Nothobranchius furzeri: one gene and its partners. The protein of the gene in region 2 purifies or fractionates together with the protein of the main gene of each other region. This does not show direct contact. Links are inferred from orthologs where the notes say so. Each region holds a gene or a part of one and is shown on either strand. Other genes may lie near its edges. The genes, in order: ppp2r2aa, ppme1, serine/threonine-protein phosphatase 4 catalytic subunit B and serine/threonine-protein phosphatase 2A catalytic subunit beta isoform.

The links.
Region 1: the proteins of ppme1 (region 2) and ppp2r2aa purify together in Homo sapiens (affinity purification with mass spectrometry; 3 studies listed by BioGRID and IntAct, with this or other methods). This does not show direct contact. The link is inferred for Nothobranchius furzeri from reciprocal best matches to the Homo sapiens genes PPME1 and PPP2R2A.
Region 3: the proteins of ppme1 (region 2) and serine/threonine-protein phosphatase 4 catalytic subunit B purify together in Homo sapiens (affinity purification with mass spectrometry; 3 studies listed by BioGRID and IntAct, with this or other methods). This does not show direct contact. The link is inferred for Nothobranchius furzeri from reciprocal best matches to the Homo sapiens genes PPME1 and PPP4C.
Region 4: the proteins of ppme1 (region 2) and serine/threonine-protein phosphatase 2A catalytic subunit beta isoform purify together in Homo sapiens (affinity purification with mass spectrometry; 6 studies listed by BioGRID and IntAct, counting the BioPlex papers as one, with this or other methods). This does not show direct contact. The link is inferred for Nothobranchius furzeri from reciprocal best matches to the Homo sapiens genes PPME1 and PPP2CB.

The regions. Positions count from the first base shown.
Region 1 is NC_091757.1:37,262,116-37,267,878, reverse strand, and holds the start of ppp2r2aa (serine/threonine-protein phosphatase 2A 55 kDa regulatory subunit B alpha isoform), read left to right. Parts: upstream 1-2,231; 5' UTR 2,232-2,447; coding exon 2,448-2,454; intron 2,455-2,773; coding exon 2,774-2,851; intron 2,852-3,435; coding exon 3,436-3,533; intron 3,534-3,733; coding exon 3,734-3,899; intron 3,900-4,083; coding exon 4,084-4,196; intron 4,197-4,410; coding exon 4,411-4,588; intron 4,589-5,763. UniProt on the Homo sapiens protein: Substrate-recognition subunit of protein phosphatase 2A (PP2A) that plays a key role in cell cycle by controlling mitosis entry and exit. Involved in chromosome clustering during late mitosis by mediating dephosphorylation of MKI67.
Region 2 is NC_091750.1:48,882,447-48,887,270, forward strand, and holds part of ppme1 (protein phosphatase methylesterase 1), read left to right. Parts: intron 1-897; coding exon 898-949; intron 950-1,120; coding exon 1,121-1,275; intron 1,276-2,836; coding exon 2,837-2,927; intron 2,928-3,014; coding exon 3,015-3,080; intron 3,081-3,152; coding exon 3,153-3,279; intron 3,280-3,362; coding exon 3,363-3,492; intron 3,493-3,599; coding exon 3,600-3,644; intron 3,645-3,718; coding exon 3,719-3,783; intron 3,784-3,880; coding exon 3,881-3,948; intron 3,949-4,824. UniProt on the Homo sapiens protein: Demethylates proteins that have been reversibly carboxymethylated. Demethylates PPP2CB (in vitro) and PPP2CA. Binding to PPP2CA displaces the manganese ion and inactivates the enzyme.
Region 3 is NC_091758.1:11,562,324-11,567,644, forward strand, and holds part of serine/threonine-protein phosphatase 4 catalytic subunit B, read left to right. Parts: intron 1-2,972; coding exon 2,973-3,074; intron 3,075-3,167; coding exon 3,168-3,341; intron 3,342-3,434; coding exon 3,435-3,561; intron 3,562-3,749; coding exon 3,750-3,939; intron 3,940-5,321. UniProt on the Homo sapiens protein: Protein phosphatase that is involved in many processes such as microtubule organization at centrosomes, maturation of spliceosomal snRNPs, apoptosis, DNA repair, tumor necrosis factor (TNF)-alpha signaling, activation of c-Jun N-terminal kinase MAPK8, regulation of histone acetylation, DNA damage checkpoint signaling, NF-kappa-B activation and cell migration.
Region 4 is NC_091750.1:36,847,209-36,853,300, forward strand, and holds the start of serine/threonine-protein phosphatase 2A catalytic subunit beta isoform, read left to right. Parts: upstream 1-1,832; 5' UTR 1,833-2,122; coding exon 2,123-2,224; intron 2,225-3,328; coding exon 3,329-3,367; intron 3,368-5,128; coding exon 5,129-5,299; intron 5,300-6,092.

The DNA of each region.
Region 1 (5,763 bases), on a different chromosome or scaffold from region 2:
GCCACTCCTCCAGTTTGGGGTTACTGCCCCGAGTGCCCTGATGACCACGGGCACCACCGATGTCTTCACTCTCCAGGCTTTCTTAAGTTCTTCTTTGAGGCCCTGGTACATCTCTAGTTTCTCATGTTCCTTTCTCCTGATGTTGCATCACTTGGTATTGCCACATCAACCACAAAGACTGTCCTGTGTTGTTTGCCCACCACCACAATATCCGGTTGGTTCTCCATCACAATTGCGTCAGTCTGGATCTGGAAGTCCCACAGGATCTTGGCTCACTCAGTTCTCTACCACCTTAGGGGGTGTTACCCACTTTGACCTTGGGGCTTCCAGTCCTGCACAGATGTTTCTGTACACGATGCCAACCACTTGGTTGTGGCGTTCCATGTATGCTTTCCCTGCCAGCATCTCACACTCTGCAGTTATGTGGTGGATTGTCTCAGGGGCCTCTTTGCATAGCCTACACCTTGGGTCTTGTGTGGTAGATCTTGGCCTCTGTTGCTCTGGTGTTCAGGGCCTGTTCCTGTGCAGCCATGATGAGTGCTTCTGTGCTGTCCTTCAGACCAGCTCTTTCTAGCCATTGGAAGGATTTCTTGATATCAACCACTTTAGTTATCTGTTGGTGGTACATCCCATGGAGGGGTGTGTCTTCCCATGATGGTATTTCCAGCACCTCCTCCTCTATTCACCATTGTCTGAGACATTCACTGAGCATGTTATCTGTTGGGGCCATGATGTGCTTATGGATCTTTCTTGGCTATCGTATTGAACACTGTTGCTAACCATTTCATCATTCTCCCTCTCCTTAATAACACTTTACTTTCTTTGACATTGAATGTGCTACTACTAGTTTACCCATTTAATTATAGATTCACTAGGATAAATACAATAAAGTTTATCTCTCACCAAAAAGAATATTTACTAAGAAATCACAATGTAACCATAGAAACACTACTTGGTGTGTGTGTGTCTGTGTGTATGTGCGTGTGTGTGTGTGTGTGTGTGTGTGTGTGTGTGTGTGTGTGTGTGTGTGTGTGTGTGTGTGTGTGTGTGTGTGTGTGTGTGTGTGTGTGTGTGTGTGTGTGTGTGTGTGTGTGTGTGTGTGTGTGTGTGTGTGCTCTGTCTTCTTGATCCCCAGTGAGTCATGGCAGATGGCTGCTTATACTGAGCCAGGATCCTCTGGAGGTTTCTTCCTGTTAAAAGGGAGTTTTCCTCTCCACTGTCACTGCATGCTTGCTTAGTATGAGGATTGCTGTAAAGACACTGACACCAGTCAGTGACTCGATGCAGCTTGCTGGGTTCCTTACAGGAAACTTTTTTCTGATTGGCTTAATGAATTGACCTGTATTGGAATGTTTATGTGAAGTGCCTTGAGACGATGCTTGTCGTGATTTGGCGCTATATAAATAAACTTGAATTGAATTGAATTGAATTTCATCCTGGCCAGTGGCTCTCACACTCACTACTCCTTGGCCTCCTTCCTTATGGCTAGTGTACAGTCTCAGGGTGCTGGACCTTGGATAGAACCCTTGATGCATGGTTAGGAGCTTCTGTGGTCTATACTTCTTCCTTTGGCCAGCTTATTATTCCTGCAGGATATCTGAGTAATGGCAGGGTGTAGCTGTCTATTGCCCCGAATTTTACTCATATACATACATGTGTGTGTGTGTGTGTGTGTGTGTGTGTGTGCAATTCAAAGTTTTTATATTGCAAGTTTGTTCAAAATTAAAATATTAGAAGTAAAAGAGATGTGATGAGTAGAAAATGTAAAAAAATGGTTTAAAAAATGTTCAACTTAAAATTTAAGTGATCATATTTTTCACACACACACACACACACACACACACACACACCACCACCACCACCACACACACGCGCGCGCGCGCACACACACACACACACACAAGCTAATTGAAGGAAATAAAACTGTTAGTTCGATTTTTTGCACAGTAACAATCCACAGGGGCGGGATGAATGCGTTACATCTGTAAACAAGAAAATGTTATGTTTACTGTTCGACGTAAAATAGATTTTGGCGGGGGGTTTTATTTTTATTTTTATTACATATCATTTTGCACATGATGTTGTTTGACGAACTTTTATATTAAAACTATTAGAGCACCGTGTTCTCTCTGATTCTGAGCAACACCGCCCGCGCGGCGCCATTTTGGAAGTGCATCGCCAGAAGCGGCAGTTGCGAGGGAAATCTCAGAGTGGAGTGCAAAGTCTGCAAACCGGTAGTGAAGGTTGTGTGTTCTTCCACTGAAAGCTGTTTAGCTTTCGTAGTATCTGCTGGATCGAGGACTTTTGTGGTTATTTATAATCCTGCACACCCAGCAAAGCTTAATTCCTCCTCAGCTATTCGGACAGAACCACCCAGTCAGTCATCCGATCTGGGTCCAGTCCAGGGCCTGAAGCAGTAGCAGGAACCCCAGTCTGAACCCCTCACCATGGCAGGTAAAAACAGACCGTCACGATGAGCTTGAAGCATGTTCTAGTATCAGTATCATTCGGCACAGAGGTGTTGTATCTATTACTCTCTACAAGCTAGCACAGGCTAACCAGTTAGCATGCTAGGATACTACGAATTAAATCCCCAACAGGCTTAAAAAGTGACAGCCCCCAAACCAAACCCATTAACACTCATGCTGCTCCCTCACACACAACATGCAGTTCGTGTGAAGCATATGTGAGCTTTTCTCTTGTCTAAGGGACAGTTTGAATCGAGTTAGCTCACGGCTAATGGGAAGTTGAAACAGGGCTGTGTTTTTTGCAGGACCCGGTGGTGGGAGCAGCGATGTGCAGTGGTACTTCTCCCAGGTCAAAGGCGCGATGGACGATGATGTAGCAGAAGGTAAGTGCGTATTGGTGCTTGCACTGATTTCTGATGTGATGTGTGTGCACATCATCAAATAACTCGTTTGAGCGTTATGTTTGCACTAAAGTTGAAAGAATCCAGTCCTGTTTGGGTGTTTTACTGCTTTAGATTCGTTGAGTGTTTCATCATATTTACTGCAAAGTGAAGGGAGTGCTAAAATGTGCCTACATAATACTTAACAGACATATTTACATATAAAAGCCTGGAGAGTTGTTTACAGTAAAGCTTCACTCTGAGAACATGTTCTGCCCCAGTCTGTCTCCTTTTGTTTTATTGAATGGACTGTACGGGTCAGGTCGTATCAGGCTCTGTATGTGTTGGGTTTGGACTGGAACCAGCTCAGAATAGTGCCACTATGTGATTACTGAGAACAGCTCCAGATGGAAAGTGGTTTAAGTGTTGCATTTAGTTTTCACTGATCTGTTTAGTTTCCACTATGTTTCATTCAGGTTTTACGATAACAGGTGGGAGACTGAAGCTAGCACACCCCATCAGCAATTTTATGGAGTAGTTTTGTACGTTATTAATTGTTGTTGTTAATAACTATGCTATGTTGACAGCTGACATCATATCTACTGTTGAATTCAATCACTCTGGTGAGCTGCTTGCCACTGGTGACAAGGGGGGGCGTGTTGTCATCTTTCAACAGGAGCCAGAGGTAGGTGATTGGTGAAATAACGCACCTGATTGCATGTTTTTCACAGTTGATAACTTCATTATTTACTGTTTTATTTAGTTAGGAACTGAGTAGCCTGAGTCTCAAAGACACACAAAAAGTAGTTGTTCTAAACATATTTTTTCTTTAATCTTAATTCTACCTGAAGTAAAGTCTGATTTACTTTGTGTGTTTTTGTTCAGAGTAAGAATCAGGCACAGTGCAGAGGAGAGTACAATGTTTACAGCACCTTCCAGAGCCACGAGCCCGAGTTTGACTATTTGAAAAGTCTTGAGATCGAGGAGAAGATCAACAAGATTCGATGGTTACCTCAGAAGAATGCTGCACAGTTTCTTTTATCAACAAATGGTTAGTGAGCTACCAGACCCACTCTGCTTTCATTCACTACAGTGGGACTGAATTTGAGACACACTGTCTGTGTCACTTTCTTGTCTGCCAACAAGAGATTCACTATAGTGGTCAAGTAGTCATGATTGCAGCACATTTTTTCCACTGCTTAAGATGCCTGACCTCTGCAGTTTCTCGCCGACAGATAAAACTATAAAACTGTGGAAAATCAGTGAGCGTGACAAGAGAGCAGAGGGCTATAATTTAAAAGAAGAGGACGGGCGATACAGAGATCCCAATTCTGTCACAACACTACGGGTGTGTATTGAACTGTTCTTATCACACAGAGTGAATTGTAATCATTCTCCCTTTATTGATTTCATTTTTGGGGGCTTGGGTTATTAGCCTCGGTGCTATTTTTATTACACAAGTAGTTTAACACATCTGCCATTTTCTCTTTCAGCTACATGAAGTAATTTTAATATTATAATTTTTATATAATTGCTAACTCTCGTTCCACATGCTTCCTCAGGTACCGGTGCTGCGGCCCATGGATCTGATGGTGGAAGCCAGTCCCAGACGAGTGTTTGCAAATGCTCACACCTATCACATCAACTCCATATCAGTAAACAGTGATCATGAGACCTATTTGTCTGCAGATGACTTGCGCATTAACCTTTGGCACTTGGAGATCACCGATCGCAGCTTTAGTATCCTTTTTATGTTTAATTCTCACCTTTACATGATTTATTTTTCTGTTGGTTGTTTCATGAGAATGAAAAATGGACGAATTGTTGAGCCTCTGAAACCTGCTGTATGTAGGGATGGATTTTTGTGTGCAAGTATTATTGATTATGTGGTCAAGTATACAGGTGAAACTCAAAATTAGAATATGGTACAAAAGTCTGTTTATTTCAGTGATCCAACTTAGACTGAGAGACTGTCTAAAGGCTCAGGAACCCTTTGCAGGTGTTTTGGATTCATTTGAGATTTCTGAATGTGGGGTTTTCATAAGCTGAAAGCCATAATCATCACAAATATAACAAAGTCCTGAAATATCTGACTTTGCATGGAATAAGTATCATGTATTACAATCACCTAAAGGATTATTAGGAACATACTAATATGGTGTTTGACCCACTTTCACCTTCAGAACTGCCTTAAAGGGGTATTATAGAAGTTTGACAGCCAAAACATGTATAGAAATAATAAATTTCTTCTTCATACATTCTCCTGCAATGCCCTGGTCCTGTAGAATGAGCCCTGACATTTTTACTGTGATTGCCTGTTTTTCTGTAAAATCAAAGAAAAAGAGAGCTGCTCGGGTCGAGCAGGCTGCTTCTTGAACATTCACGCTCAGGCATCGCCTGTAGCATTTGCCATCAGTAGCTTTAGCAGCAGAGAGAGAGGTAGTGCCAACTCAGCGACTTTGTCGCTGTTCCTAACGCCTAGTGATAAACCTAGCTACATTTCTGAGGACCCTTAGCTACTTTCTTCTAGATATTTCCTGCAAATTAGCAACAAAATAGCCATTTTCGCTCCGAACCGTTCTTTGACCATTGTTTCAGCTGTTATCAACGATATAAATGTTACAGATACAAATGACGTCACTGGTGCTTTAGCTCACCTAGTAAGATGTTGGACTCTCGTGCAGAAGACCCGGGCTTGATTCTCAATGTGAATATGGTTTAGTTAAGAGTTTATTTTTTACATTGATGGTATATTTTTTTACAGTAAGATGCTCAAATTTTTATTTGAGACTCACCGAACGGCATTGAATTCACAGATAAAAAAGATGTGGGTTCAACTTTCATTTTGGATTAATTTTTCAAGCAAGGGAAGGGAATTATCTGAGCATGCAGGAAGACTGACCCATCATAAACCT
Region 2 (4,824 bases):
TGACAGATGGAGCCACAGCTTGCCATCTTTTTCTTCAAACCCCTTCACTTGAAACCTAAAGAGTAGTTTGTGCTTCTGCATCAGCTCCACAAGTGAGAGACACACACGCATTGACAGAGACGTTTTGCTCTCGGACTTCTCCGTCTCTTTGGGAGTGTTGTAAAGCAATTCCTCACCAGGACAACGAAGGGCGTAGCGCTGTTCTGAGGTATCCTGTTTTGTATCTGGTTAAAGATGGCACATTTACTATTGTGTTTTTGTTGTGTTTTTTGTATTTCAGAGACTTTTTAACATGGAAAAATGTGTCCCTCATTCTCCTCCACCTCTTCATGCGCTTACACTTAATCTCTAAAACCACAGTTCCCGTCATTTCCATCCACGAATAAAACGCTTGCTGCATATCTTTTTACCCCTCCAGTCACAGGTGAATAAGACGTTCATATAGAGTTTTTCCTTGAGGTATTCTTTAAGCTGCTACTATCTTCGGCTGTCTTTATGCTTTTGAAGGTGCAATGGCAGTGCTGTTGACGAAAGCAGCGTCCTGACCAATCACAAGCTTGCATTCTACGTCTCGTTCGACAGATGTTTAGAAAAGTGGGCTCGATTACGTCGATAATAGCGTTGCATGTCTCCACACAGACGCAGAAGCATAAACTAGGCTTAAGTTCCCTTAACTTTGTGTGACTTTCAGCTTGCAAGTACGAAGTTTGGCCGAATGTTTCTGCCCCTCAGTTGACTGGTCCATGTCTTGTCAATCATAAATGTACCCAACCTATCAGATAACAGATGGGTGTGGCTGTGGGTGTGGCATTTTACTGAGCTGCAGGTCCTGGAAGCGTTGAACTGGAGGTTTTAATTGAAGTGGTTTATTATGTTAATGTGCCTTTTTCTTTGCAGGAGACACCAAAGTTAAAAATCCTGAGGATCTTTCTGCAGACACAATGGCAAAGTAAGTTCTTGTCCACTGACTTGTAGAGTTTAAACACATTCTGCAGGTTTCTGCGTTTCATTTTCAGGCTAGTTTAAAATAAGTTGTTTGTCGTTGGTTAATATCTTAACTGAAAAGAGAGATTCAGTAAATATAACAAGGCTAACCGGCTGTTCATGTGTTTTCCAAAAGAGATGTTGGTAAAGTGGTGGAGGCACTCTATGGAGAGAGCCCACCTCCCATCTTGATAATTGGCCACAGTATGGGCGGGGCCATTGCAGTTCATACAGCCAGTGCCAATCTAGTGCCGTCCCTGCTTGGGCTGTGTGTCATCGATGTTGTAGAAGGTAAACTCTCGTGCTTTTTTCTTTGTTGCATCATATCAGAGCAAAGCTCACAAAGATTTACCTTCACATAGTTTTAGGAGCCCCCCCCCCCCCCCATGCTGTCTGGCAGTGCATTCAGAATTGGTGTCTGGGTGCCCTTAGAACAATTGCCCAAGAGAGAAAAGAAAACAAAAACCACGGCATCGACTAGGGCTGGGCGATATGGGCCAAAACTTATATCTCAATATCGTTTAGCTGAATTCCGATAAACGATTTATATCTCAATATTTTCCCTCCTGTAACATATTAATAAGTTAACTGCCTTCAAGCTGTCTATAATGATGTACAGCAAACTAAATGTATTGATTCTCATCAAACATTGACCCGAGTGCCCAAGCTAATCGCTAGCCGCTATGCTTGCAGCTTGACTAGTTTTATCGATAAAGTCATCTCGTTTCTTGCTTGAAATTAAATCGATATTTTTTTAAATATCGATAAATTGCCCAGCCCTACCATCGACCAACAAATGCACGTTTAGTGTTCCTGATAAATACTAAAATATCATAAGTGGCAGCCACAGACTTGTTAAGTGTGTGTACGCGGTTCTGTGGTTTCTCCCTGACATTATTTACTACGGGTGTGGAGGACCCCAGGCCCGTCCCTCCCAGGCCCTGAAGCAGACCATGGGGAATGATAAGAACTATGGGCCATTCCCATCTGTACCTGGTTAGCCCAGCCCGGATAGCTCCAGTCGGCCCCAGCCAGGCTCGGTTGATTCCACACATCCTTGCTAAGTGTTATACAAGGAATGCAGTCAGACATTTTCAGCTTCTAGGCAATCAGCATGATAATGTATGATAATGAATTGAGCATGCCTTAAGCCCATGTGGGCTGATTCTACCGACCAATCAGAGGCTTGCTCTAATGGAAGGTGTGAATTTGCTGTCAGCCATGGGTGTGTTGGCCCTGGTCAGCCTGAAGCAGACCACCTCAGAAAGAGGGCTGAAAAACAGTCTCATTGCACCCTGAAAAAAGGCAGGCCACCAAGATATGTAAGCAAGACCACATGCCACATGCCGGGCCGACCAGGTACAGATGGGAATGGCCCAAAGGTCACCCAGGACCTCCCAAGAGGACAGGGACCCCATGATGATCACCACAGGAAGGACCACAGTCCTCCCCCAACAAAGGGACCGTCGACCAAAGGAGCTAACCAGCAGCTACAGTACAGAAACCTCAGGGGGCTGCAGTGACAATCCCACAGACCCCACCTGCAGCCGGCTCCCCCTGAGCAGACTGGAATATGGACCCAGAGACCCGAGACTCCAGGGCACCTCGCCACCCGGCAGGAACCCAACCAGGCCAGGAAGCACCAGACTCCACCAAGCATCTGCTGGAAGGGAGCCAGTGCACACCCAGTCACCCAGCCCTTACCAAGAGCCACCAGCGCCCTAGATTCTGAAAGGGAGTTTGAAGGGGGGAGATGGGCCTGTGTTGGAGTCTAAAGGATGTAATATAGAAGCCAAAATGAAACTAAAGATCTAATAATGAGGTCATCAGTGAAAGAGTTTTTCTTCTCTAGGTACTGCCATGGATGCTTTGAACAGCATGCAAAATTTCCTCAGAAGTCGGCCAAAGACGTTTAAGTCTCTGGAGAATGCCATTGAGTGGAGGTACACGTTTGATCTTCGAGAGAGCTGCATCATTTCCCCCTGCAGGTGTCGAATGTTGATGTTGGCTAACGTTATCTTTTGTTTTAGTGTGAAAAGTGGCCAGATTAGAAACCTGGAGTCAGCTCGGGTGTCGATGGGAGGACAAGTGAAGAAGTAGGTTCTTGTTTTTTGTACGTTTAGATTCTGATCAAGTATATTCACCCGTTTCTCTTCTTCTAATCACAGATGTGAGGAGTCCATCAGCAGCCCAAGTGTTACCAACAGCCTGGGTGAAGGCATCATCGAGGAAGAGGAGGATGAAGAAGCAGAGGAGGAATCAAACAAGAAAAGAATGAAGGAAGATGAACACCAGGTTCAGTTTGTGACTGCTTTTCCTCTCTGATGTGACCTTTTCCTTGTAGAAACCCACTGAAACAGGCCGAGTTCTACTTCCAGGTCAAAAAGGAAAGCGTCTTCACTTGGCGAGTGGAGCTGTCAAAGACGGAAAAGTATTGGGAGGGCTGGTTTAGAGGTCTGTCAGCACTCTTCCTCTCCTGCTCTGTGCCAAAGCTGCTTCTGCTTGCAGGTTTGTTCTTCGTCTACCACTCAGATTTTTTTTTTACCTGATGTTCTGAAAGGTGGTTCAGGGAGAATTTTACCACAGTTTCACTCCTGACTTGTTCCTTTGTCCAGGAGTGGACCGGCTGGACAAAGACCTTACAATTGGACAGATGCAAGGTAAATGTGCTGCATTATATCAGTGTGTTGTAGAATGTGTTTGTCTCATTGACAGCTGCACCCTTTGTCCACAGGGAAGTTTCAGATGCAGGTCCTACCTCAGTGTGGACATGCTGTCCACGAGGACGCACCTGATAAAGTAAGAGTCCTTCACCTGCACCGATAAACCAAAGGAAGGGGTTCTGTTTGACCCACAGAGTCTTCAGCTGTTTAATTTCTCTGGTGTTTTCTGTTAGGTAGCAGATGCTCTCGCAACATTTATGGTCCGGCACAAATTCACCGAGTTTAAGGAAGGATTTCTGTGGTAAGTGAAACAAAAATCAACACAAAACCCATCACAGATAACGCAAAACAGCTCAGAGGGATAGCTTTGTATCTGTGGGGAATCATTACCTCACTTGGGTTAGGTGGTTCTGGGTTTAATGGATCTGTTTTGTCTATCGTAGCGAATCCATCTGGATCAATCCGCTCTTATGCTGTTGGGTCCAGGGAGAATGGGAACTAGTTTATTGTAGGAAAATGTATAAAATGAAAATTGTCTTGAACTGGTTATTTTCATAGATTCTGATTCTTTCTTTGTATAGTTTTGATTTGAAACCTGATTAGTTTTAACATTAATTTCATGGGTTTATTTTACAAACATGCATTTTTTGAATAAACCTCATTAGAAGAAGAAGAAGAAAAGATCTTTTCTGTAACACCTCTCAAGATAAAAATCATGAGGTGCTTCACAAAAACAAAAAATGTAAAAAATTTAAAAAGAATTTGGAAAATGATTAAAAATATATTCAAAATGAGCAAAAATAGACAATTGTGATTCAAAGTGTAAAGAGAGGGAGTGAATACGAAAGAGGGAAATCAGTGGATCCTGAGGAAGGTGGAATAGGTGGGGAGAGCAGAACAAGGAGAGGGTGATGAAGGTCACACCAAAACCAGCTTGAACAAGTGAGTCTTCAGCTGCTTTTTAAAGGAGACCACTGAGTCCACTGATCTCAGGCTCAGGGGGAGAGAGTTCCAGAGTCTGGGGGCCACAGCAGCAAATGATCTTTGGTCTTTAGCCTGGTGCTGCACAACCAGTAGGCTTTGATCACTGGACCTCAGGGACCTGCTGGGGGTGTAGGGACTAAGAAGATCACCAGTGTAAGATGGTGCTTGTCCATGTAAGGCCCTATAGACCAGA
Region 3 (5,321 bases), on a different chromosome or scaffold from region 2:
GTTAAGGGGAGGTAGCTGTTATTAAATAAAATCCTATAAATATAATTAAATTAAATCCTAATCCAGCCCACTGCCTCCTGCTTGTATTATTATTATTATTATTAGCAAATACAAAATAAACATCCATCATTTTATTGGCAGTTTATGGTTCTTTTAGTGTTTTCAGCAGCAGAGACTGGTTCCTGCTCCATCTCATGTATGAAATGAGACCACTGGGTTCAAACAAAATAACGAACCAGGCCAAACATGTTATTTATCTTATTTCATTGATAAATGTAGTTTTTAAAGCTCAATTTTTAAGTTGTTAATTTAAAAGCAAATATTTTAAATATGATTAAATACCTGCTAAAAAGCACTAGGATGTGGGAAATGACATCTGCTCACTAAAACTTCTCAGTGGGAGTCCCCCAGACCAACTCCCCCATCACCGGATATCCTCTCAGGGGGTGGCTACTTTCCTTGATGTGGAGTGGGTCTCATCTTCTTCACCCTTGACCCATTTTCATGTCTGAGTTAGAAGGCACAAAGGGATGCCCACATATTCCACAACCACCAAACCCAGTGTGTCTGATGGTGTGAGTGTAAAATTGAGATAAAGCACATGCATGCTCATTATTAATGCAGGCATGTGCTTTAATAATGAGCATGATATCGATATCGGAAGTAATTCGATTTTGGCTCAAAAATACTGTATCTGACTATATCGGACTGCGTCAGAAATCTCCGATATAAGCAGCTGGTTACGGTTCACAATTTTGCAACCAGTGGTTAAAAAAAAGCCCCCTTTTTCACACTTACTGTTATTAGCTCTTGCACACGTTCCATTGCTGTTTCTCACCAGTATCAGCTGATGGAGGGCTCTTGCGCCGTTCATGTCAGGGGGCACGGTAGGGTCGGGGAGGGGGGGCGGGCATGACTCTTAGCCTGGCGGGTGGCCAAGCTTATAAAGCGCTGGGGGAAACCCTGCAGAGTGAGGGACTCTGGTTGTGCATCAGAATTATATTAAAAGAGTAAAAAACACACTATAATTAACGCTTTTTCAGTCTACTGTTTTTAATATAAATCTGACTCACAACTAAGGTCCCACATTCGTTACAGTTATGAACAACAAGTAAAGAGGGAGTGGGATGACCGCTGGAATGTCCGTCAGATTCAAAACCGGTTGCACAGCAGCCCGTCTGACATCAAATACACAGCTCTGCTTGTGATTGCACGCTCATAAGTGCATTCTGGAGGCCACGGTTTTTAAAAACACCAGTTTTCTCGTATTTAACTAAACAATTACACAGACTGTTCCTTATTTACTAGACAAATAAGGAGTCAGACGCAGCAGGAGCGTTATGACCGACTGACCTGTTGCTGGCCTCGGTTCAGGTTGCTGCACCATGTTCTGCCGGGCTCGGTGCTTTGATGTGAGGCTTGTGTTCCGGGAATGAAATAAGAATAAAATGCTCCCAAACTGCTAACCACTCCATGATTGAGCACAGTTGTTGGGTCATGTGACGAGCTCATTTAGTCTAACATATTGTGATAGCAGAAGGACTTGAAGCAGTTAACCTGGCAAACTATTTTACCTGGTTACAACATTAACGGCTATTAACCGTTTAACTAAGTACATCCCTGGTTCATAGAGCACGGGCAAAGGTCTGTGTGTGTCGGGGTGGTTTAAGGTTAACTGACCATTAAAGCTTCTTTCTGGAGTATTTCTCTTATCCGATGGCACCATCTACAAGCTTATCACACAAAATCGCTGTTCCTCTGTTTTTTTAAGCTTCACGTTCCTGTTCATATATGTGCTTCTGTAGCCGACAAACGGCTAAAACACGTTGTTTTCAATTCAAAAATACTTTATTAATCCCAAAGGGAAATTGATTGCTGTAGTAGCTCAGAATAATAATAATAATAATCAAGTCATCAAAGAGTTATTGTATATTACAATGGCTGTTGGCAGGAAGGATCTCCAGTAGCGGTCAGTGTTGCAGCCAAACTGAAGAAGCCTCTGACTGAAGACACTCTTCCGTTGTCGGACAGTCTTGTGAAGAGAATTATTTTACGAGTATTATTGTCATGTTGTGTTTTCATATATTTATATTTTAGAGACTAACTTGTCCGTGAAAAGTTCATGAACTCAGCATCGGCCGAGGTATTCCTTAAATGTGAAGCGTCTAAGCGGTAGTCTAATGCTATTGGTTAGTTCTGGCCGGCGCTCAGTTTCCTACTGCACGGAGCTCTGCGGGGCAGGGGGCGTGCTTGGCAAAAAAAAAAAAGATGTATCGCTTATATTATATCACAGTACATGATGAGATCATCACTTCTACGGATTTCAGAAAAATCATTCATTGTTTCTGAAAGGGGAAAACTCCGGAAAGCTGCTTTAAGCGTTAAAGGTGTCAATAACTGGTTAAAGAAATTGTAGAAAACGTGCATCCCCTTTTAATACCCAAGAATTGAAGTTTTACAGTATTCTGTGTTTTAACGTTACTGTTGGCCAATAAGGCGAGATGTTTCTATCGTAATATTGAGCCTTTATTTTTGGTCCACCACGCCTCAGACAAACTCCCTGTGAGACTGTTTTCACACAGAAAACGAGGCTGCATTATTGAAGCTGTCAATGGAAATGCTGCTTGGGATTTGTGTGTGTGTGTGTGTGTGTGTGTGTGTGTGTGTGTGTGTGTGTGTGTGTGTGTGTGTGTGTGTGTGTGTGTGTGTGTGTGTGTGTGTGTGTGTGTGTGTGTGTGTGTGTGTGTGTGTGTGTGTGTGTGTGTGTGTGTGTGTGTGTGTGTGTGTGTGTGTGTGTGTGTGTGTGTGTGTGTGTGTGTGTGTGTGTGTGTGTGTGTGTGTGTGTGTGTGTGTGTGTGTGTGTGTTAGTTTGGAAAAGCGATGCGACATGGGGTCACTGCCGACTTAGCCTATGTAATAGCCACAGCATGAACTGTTGAAACCAATAAACTAGATAAAACCTTTCCTGGCAGGTTGGTGGCGATGTTCCAGAGACTAACTACCTCTTCATGGGTGACTTTGTGGATCGAGGCTTCTACAGTGTGGAGACTTTTCTTCTGCTTCTAGCTCTTAAGGTAATTCTGGTCTTTGGTTTGTTTTTCACTCTTTATGACATTCTTAGTTCAAGTCATTTTCATTCATCTTTTGACCCTTGTTTGGCACCTCAGGTGAGGTATCCAGACAGGATAACTCTAATCCGGGGAAACCACGAGTCTCGACAAATTACCCAGGTCTATGGCTTCTACGACGAGTGTCTTCGCAAGTATGGCTCAGTCACCGTTTGGAGATACTGCACTGAGATATTTGACTATTTGTCCCTGTCTGCTATCATTGATGGCAAGGTGAGATATGGACGAGTTATTTAAATTTTCTGCATCTTTTTGTATTATTTTGGGTGTCGGTCTCTAAAGTTTTGTGTTTTCTGTGCATCTCAGATCTTCTGCGTGCACGGTGGTTTGTCTCCCTCAATCCAAACATTAGACCAGATCAGGACCATTGACAGAAAGCAGGAAGTGCCCCACGACGGACCCATGTGTGACCTTTTGTGGTCAGACCCTGAAGGTATCTGCAGGCTTTTGCTCTCTGAATAAATAGTGTGAGAGTGGCTTAGGGATGAGGAGTTTGCCCTGTAACTGGTGGGTTGCTGGTTTGAACCCAGGCTCTGTCTGCATGATAAACACTCATGTTGGTGTTACAACTGAACATACAACAGTAAGTCTTCGTGATCCTATGTTTCCTGTTTCTGTCAGACACCACAGGGTGGGGCGTGAGTCCCAGAGGGGCTGGCTACTTGTTTGGGAGTGACGTGGTGGCGCAGTTCAATGCTGCCAATGATATTCACATGATTTGTCGAGCACACCAGCTGGTGATGGAGGGCTACAAGTGGCACTTCAACGAGACGGTGCTCACTGTGTGGTCTGCACCCAACTACTGCTACAGGTGGGTAGCCAGGTTACATTGCATTAGTCGTTCCACTAGCAGAGGATGTAGATTACAGCACACAGTGGGAAAAACAATAACCTGCTGTTTGTCCTTCAGCTGTTTTCACACTTAAAGCAACATATAAACTTCCTCGCTTTTCATTCCTTCTGATTAAAAGCTGAATTAAAACCCAGCTGCAGCCTGCGGTAGCTAGCGCTTTCCCCAAAAAGCTGTCCCTGCTAAGAAGCCGCACAGCTCTGTATCTCCCGTTGCTGCGTGTGAGGTTCTTTAACCTTACCAGGTTTGGGTCCACTTCACTAAATGCGATGGCTAGGAATGGGAACCTTTGACCTTAAAATCAATATGGTACAAACTCCCAGTACCTACTACTGGTACTTAACAGTACCAGTTTTCTATACTTTTGAGTGTTTAATAATTATTAAAATCGCTTTTTTATTAAATATATATATTATTTTCCCCATATATAGCCATATTTGATGAATAACATACAACAGTTTGTATTTTATCATCGTAGTGTTGTACAAAATTCTTCAACATGAAAACTTTTAACAAGTTACTAAATGACGCAAAAATAAAACCAGCTCCATGGACCCTGATCCTCTCCTCCGCCCTCTGGAATAACTCTGATGAGGAGACCGTGTGTTATAAACTACAAATGAAACTAAAACACACTCCGATACCATACAACAGTTTGTATTTTAATATTGTGGTGTTTCACAAACTAAACCAGCTCCGTGTACTCCTCTTCTTTCTCCTCTGGACAAACTGTGTGATGGTGGGTTCTTGTAGTTTTATAAAATGTGTGATGGTGGTTCTTGTAGTTTTATAAACTATGATGGTGGGTCCTTGTAGTTTTATAAACTATGATGGTGGGTTCTTGTAGTTTTATAAACTATGATGGTGGGTCCTTGTAGTTTTATAAACTGTGATGGTGGGTCATTGTAGTTTTATAAACCGTGTGATGGTGGGTCATTGTAGTTTTATAAACTATGTGATGGTGGGTCCTTGTAGTTTTATAAACTATGTGATGGTGGGTCCTTGTAGTTTTATAAACTATGATGGTGGGTCCTTGTAGTTTTATAAACTATGATGGTGGGTCCTTGTAGTTTTATAAACTATGTGATGGTGGGTCCTTGTAGTTTTATAAACTATGTGATGGTGGGTCCTTGTAGTTTTATAAACTATGATGGTGGGTCATTGTAGTTTTATAAACTATGTGATGGTGGGTCCTTGTAGTTTTATAAACTATGTGATGGTGGGTTCTTGTAGTTTTATAAACTATGTGATGGTGGGTCCTTGTAGTTTTATAAACTATGTGATGGTGGGTCCTTGTAGTTTTATAAACTATGATGGTGGGTCCTTGTAGTTTTATAAACTAT
Region 4 (6,092 bases), about 12 Mb from region 2:
GATGGTTCCCCCAAACTAAATAGGTAAAAATTATACTAACTTGTTTAAACTACACAGAGTGGCTTTTTTACAGGTAATAAATCAATTTGAAAATAATTTCCAAAGGATTATAAGCTTGTTTACCTGTAATGGAACAATATTTGACAGTTCTCCTCTTGACATTATAAATATACAAAACATATGCTTTCCTTTTACTAAAACACCTTGACATTGAAATGTAGGATTGTTGCGTAATAAAACTGATGGAAATCTGAAGAGTAGTTTAATCAAACAATGTAGGAAACCGGACTGAAATTCAGAAAACACAATCTGTATAACTGCAACATTTCCTCTCACAGTCACCCTGTTTGCCGGGTATAGTTTGATTAATGAATTTCAGTCACAGACAGTGGACACAAAAACATGTTTTTATTGTGGTTTAAAATATATGGAATTATTTTATGTTATTTTGTGGCAAAAAAAAGTTGCAGTTTCTCATTCTGTCTGCAGCCTGTGTGTTCCCATAATGTGTTGCCCATGCATACATGGATTGCCTCCCACTGACCAAAAACTCAAGACTCAAGACAACTTTATTAGTCCCCGAGGGGCAATTTGAGACAATTCATGTAAACCTTTGGCTCACACACACACACACATACACACACACACATGCACACACAAATACACATGCATACATGTAACTATATGCACGCACACATACAAGTTATGCACACTCCTATCGGCACTAAGAATTAAGAAGAAGCACAGCTCTGGGAACAAAGGAACTCCTCCTCTGTGTTTTACAGCATGGACATCGAAGTTGGCGTTTGGAGGGCAGCCACTCGAAAACAGTATGAAGAGGGTGTAATGGGTCTTTAATTATTTTCTATGCTAACTTCCTGTATGCTGGTCACATTGAGAAGTTAAGTTTTGCAGTGGTAGTCCAATGATCTGAGAGCACACCTTGACGGTGCTTTGTAGACGGTTTCTATACTGCAGGCTGACAGAATAAAACCAACAGGGGATGGAAAATGTGATAACACTCTCTATAAAAGAATAATAGAAAGTCAGTAAAATGTCCTTCCTGTCTCCAAATGAATTCAACTTCCTCAGGAGGTAGAGTCGTTGCTGGCATTTTCTGAGGATGTCCTCAGTGTTGGAAGCGAATTTCAGGAGGTGATCAAAGGTGGTCCCTAGATATGTATACTCTTCAACCAGCTCCACTGGCTGTCCATGAATGATAGTGGAGGCAGCGGTAACCAGCGCTCTCTGTTTGTTTGAGAAGGACACCATCTCCTTAGTTTTGGTCACATTCAGCTCCAGGCCTGCTGTGTCACACCAATCCACAAACTCCTGCAGGACCTGCCCGTGCTAAACAGTAGGGCCTGACAGAAGCGACAGGAGCACAGTGTCATCAGCGTATTTTACCATATAACTGTCAGGCTGGATGGATCTACAGTCATCTGTATGGAGAATGAAGAGTAGAGGAGACAACACACAGCCTTGTGGGGTGCCAGTGGAGGTGTAAAGAAGGTCTGTTAACTGGAGACAATAAACTGTCCCTAGATGTAATTGAATGTGTGACTGGTTGTTTGCCTTTATGTGTCCCTGTGATGGACTGGAGGCATGTCCAGATGTCCTCTGTCTGTCCCCTGGTGACTGAAGTGGGTAAAGATGAGTGAGTGAGTGAGTGAGTGAGTGAGTGAGTGAGTGAGTTACAAATAAACCACATAATGTGTACCTAGAGCAGCAAGCCCTGGTCTAGGATCAGCATCCCGGAAAAGACGATGAACTTGTTGTAGTTCGTTACTTCCCCGCGTGGTGTCGCTGGTGTTCCGAGTCTGCGCGCTGCTGAAGTGCCCGGATGTTGTTGCAGCTAGCTCTTTTAGCCTCTGCGACGCCGCTTCGATCTGCCGCAGCGGAGACTTTCGAAGATTTCGACTCCACTGGCTCATTTAAACTGGTTTTAATGTCGGTAACTTAACATTGGTGGTTTATCATGAGAGAAGTTGTCTGAAAGGGTCGTTATTTTTAGGACTAATCGAATATTTTTCAACCGGACTGGATCGGGTTAACAATACGACAAGCTAAAGGCTGAATCAGTTCGCGTAGGGACCGGACGCCGTTTTTTATTACAGCTGAAATGGAAGATAAATCTTTTACTAAAGAATTAGACCAATGGATCGAACAGCTCAACGAGTGCAAGCAGCTAACGGAAAACCAAGTGAGGACCCTCTGTGAGAAGGTAAGCGCTCATTTGATTCCGCTGACCTCAATTTATAAGCGGCCTGGTTCTCAGCGGCCCCGACTAATTTCTGGAAAGGAAGTAACGTGTATTTTGGTTTTTATCTCCCTATTGACCCGTCAGCCGCAGGTCATCCCTGTTTATTAGTACTAGAAATGAGAAATTATTCGTATTGTTTTTGGTGTTTGAAGATCAGAGGCTAGTTTTATCAGTGATGACGGTTAACCAACAGTCGTAGTTTGAGCACCAACAGGCCGAAAATCGCACCTTAAATGTCTAGTAAATAGATGCAGCCCTCGTTACCATCCACCCGTTTTTTTATTTGACGTGGTTTCCCTCGGTTTGTTCCATGCGAAATATTATGTTAAAATCAGTATTAAGTCAGCGTCTTTAGAATTGGTTTGTTTGCGTACGTGCGGGGTTTCGCACCGCACCCTGTCTGTATTGATTTATCGTTTATTGCATAAACCCATCCTACCTCCCAGTTATTAGACGCGTCCGCATTTTTGCTGTCGCATAATAAATTAGTTCTTATGACTTTTTGCATCGTGTTATTTTTTTAAACATACATTATTATAATTGAGTGACTTTAGCGGTTTTTCAGCTGAAATCAGGAACCAGCTGAGGATTCAACAGGCCAGATAAACGTGGAAACTTATGGAGCTGCAAAAGATGATTTTTATTTATTACTAAAGTAAATAAACAGCTTTTGTGTATATTTATGTCGTTTTGCTGAGCAACACTTTGAACTAAAGAGTTAAACTATCAATCGATTTTGATGCCTTTAATTATGTTTCCTTTTCATAATTAAAGCTTTTTTTCCTGTATTATTTTGTTATTATTGTGAGCTTACCAAATATAAAGAATCAAAAACTGAACCACTGCAGAGAGGCTCTTTATTCTGATGTTTTTGCACATAAACAACAACAAAAAACCAGGTTTCACCATACATCCTGTTTGTTATTCTACAGGAACTGGGGTCTTGCCTGGCTTCCAGCATGTTTTCACCCATGATGCAATAATTCTGTCCTTTTTAAACTTTTGGTTATGTAAATAAAAACACACAAATGTGACCAGTTTAATAAATTTTTGTGTTCTTTTCAGGCAAAGGAGATTCTGACTAAGGAGTCCAACGTTCAAGAGGTGAGTTTGGCCCAAAAAAATCCTAATAAGTCGCCTTCTTCAATACTGCATACATCCGAGTTAATTTGCAGTTTTTGTTCCTGTTGGGGGGGGGTTATCTATGAGGAAATGGAAATCCATTTGAAGAGATTATTCCGTTTGTTTCTAAAACGGTCAGGGTCAGTTTGTGTTATTTTATCATCTTGTGTGTTCCAGTCACACCAGAGTCTCTGGGTTGTATGTTCAAACTTTTAGTAGAACAAACCAGAGGGGCTGGCTTCCCAAACTCAGTTCCTCTTTAGTACCGACCAAATATTTAGTAGGAACTGGTACGGAATAAATATGTATTTTTTGTTGTGAAACTTCAGTATTGTCTTGATAAATTGGCCCTAATAATGAGCCGAACAGCTCCGCACGCCGTGTGACTAAAGGAAGCTGCTCTCTCACACACCATTTATGGCAGGAGTTAATGTAACATTTCAGATAAGATTTGTGTTGCTAAATATGACAAAACAGCAATTTAATAAAGCGCAGCGTCGTTCCTGGTGTTGGTCTGTGAGCCGAAACATGAACCGATTTCATCTGCTGCTGCCAAAAAAAAACAACCAGACTCAAGTCCACAACCCTCCTGCGCTGCAACAGCAACACGGCGGCGTCACCAGGATTGTTTTTTGTTCTGCCTCTTTAAATTTGTATGTTCTAGGGCTGCACGATATTAGGAAAACCTGTGATATGCAATAACGGTGATTAATATTGCAATGACGGTATTACTTGCGATAAATATAAACTTAATTCAGGAACAAAAATAATCAAAAGCAAATAAATAAAAAAGTGACAAAAATATCATAGAAATGAAAAAAGCTAACTTAAAAAAGTTTACTTTTGATTTGGACTAAAAGGTAAAAACTAACTTTTTTTTATTCATTAACTGCCAACCATTTCCTGATCAGAAAAGCCCTTCACTTCCAGCATTTTTACTCCTTTTTTTTATAGAGTGACAGAATGTTGCACGCTAGGATGATGTCGACACCAAAACAACCAAAACAAAGCGGAGACTCACCTCTTACATCAGGAAGAATCCGCGTGTTTCGAGCGTTATCCGTTCTTTAATAATACGTTGTTGAATTGTGATCGTCAGAAGCTTTTCCGGTTCACGCCTCACTTTTTTTACAGCAGCGGCCCAAAACGATCTCCTAACACGTGGATGTTCTGCTTCCTGATCACGTGACGTATGCGGATGAAGATCGGCTTTAGAGCTGAGATGTTTGTTCTCACGGTGCGGGGGCTCGTCCGACGCCCACACAGTAAAAACATGCAAATGACGACTGGCAGTTAATGAGTTAATCTTATAGTTTACTGTTTGCATTGAAAGTTTGCCATTTAGTTGAGTCTAATAAACATTTAAGTACTTTTTATTAATGATGCGTACGTTCTGACCCTTCGTCTCTCCGAGCGCGTTAGGAAACTTGGCCACTTTAGTCGCTTGTTTTGGGTTGTAATGCGAAACTTAAAAGGTCAACGTATCAAGTCGGAGACTCTTGGATAAGTGAATCGATTTTTCTTCCAAATCAGTGAACTGGAACAGGATCGGGGGTCCAATAACTGATCTGGTGGAGCTCACCACCACACAAGAGGTGATGTGCAGCAAAAAGCACAGAAACAGTAATTAAGGTAGTTTAGGCCTTCTACAGAGATCATCAGCAGCGTTCTGTATTCATGCTGAGTTAACTGCCGTGTGGTGGATGTTGGAGTGACCCTGTGATGGTGTGACACCCCCTCCAGGTGAGATGCCCGGTGACGGTGTGTGGGGATGTCCACGGTCAGTTCCACGACCTGATGGAGCTGTTTAAGATTGGTGGGAAGTCCCCCGACACCAACTACCTGTTCATGGGAGACTATGTGGACAGAGGCTACTACTCTGTGGAGACGGTCACTCTGCTGGTCACGTTAAAGGTAAATCACAGGTTAATGAGCCACATTCTGCCGTTTGACCAGAAACTAAACAGTTTTTAATCGTCAGAAAAAAACTTTCATATTTTCTAAGTTCGTAGACGTTTGTTTTTCTCCTGTTTTTGATCAGATTTAATGTTCAGAAACGCTTTAAAGCTGTGAGGGTAACAGATCTGATGAACAAATGTCTGAACTCGTTCTTCCCACCACTCCAAATCTTCTAAAAATAATCCTCGTTAGTCTGATTTTCTTTGAGAGGCGTCTCTGAGGTTTTGGGTCAACATGAAAACAACCTAAAGCCAAAAGGAGGCCTGTTGCTGCATTTAAATCTGTTTCTCGTGAGGTGGTCCCAGGTGGGCCGAGTTACGGGCTCCACTTTGTAAACCGTCGGGGTCGATGTTATTTCTGACATGCAGATAAAATCTGTTTTATTCAGTAAATCTACAGTTCAGTGCTGCAAAGTTCAGAGTTTTTCACCCAGACGGTCACCAACGCCAACATCAGACGCTTGTGGGTCTGATGTTTGTGTTGGATGCTGCTGTCGGTGTGTTGATGGGTTTACCGTCCAGCTTTACTGTATCGGTAATAGGGTTGTCACGGTAACCGGTGTAGCGGTACACCCTGGTAAAAAAAAAAAAAGTTGACAATAATAACCGTCTTGTTTTTAAAACACATATTATCTCGGTGGGTTACCGTGGCTGCGGTGTAGGCGCGGTGACCCTTACCAGCCACCGTATCATCTGCTGAAGTTGCCGGCGGCACATGCGCACTTTGTTGTTTACAACCAAAACTTTCT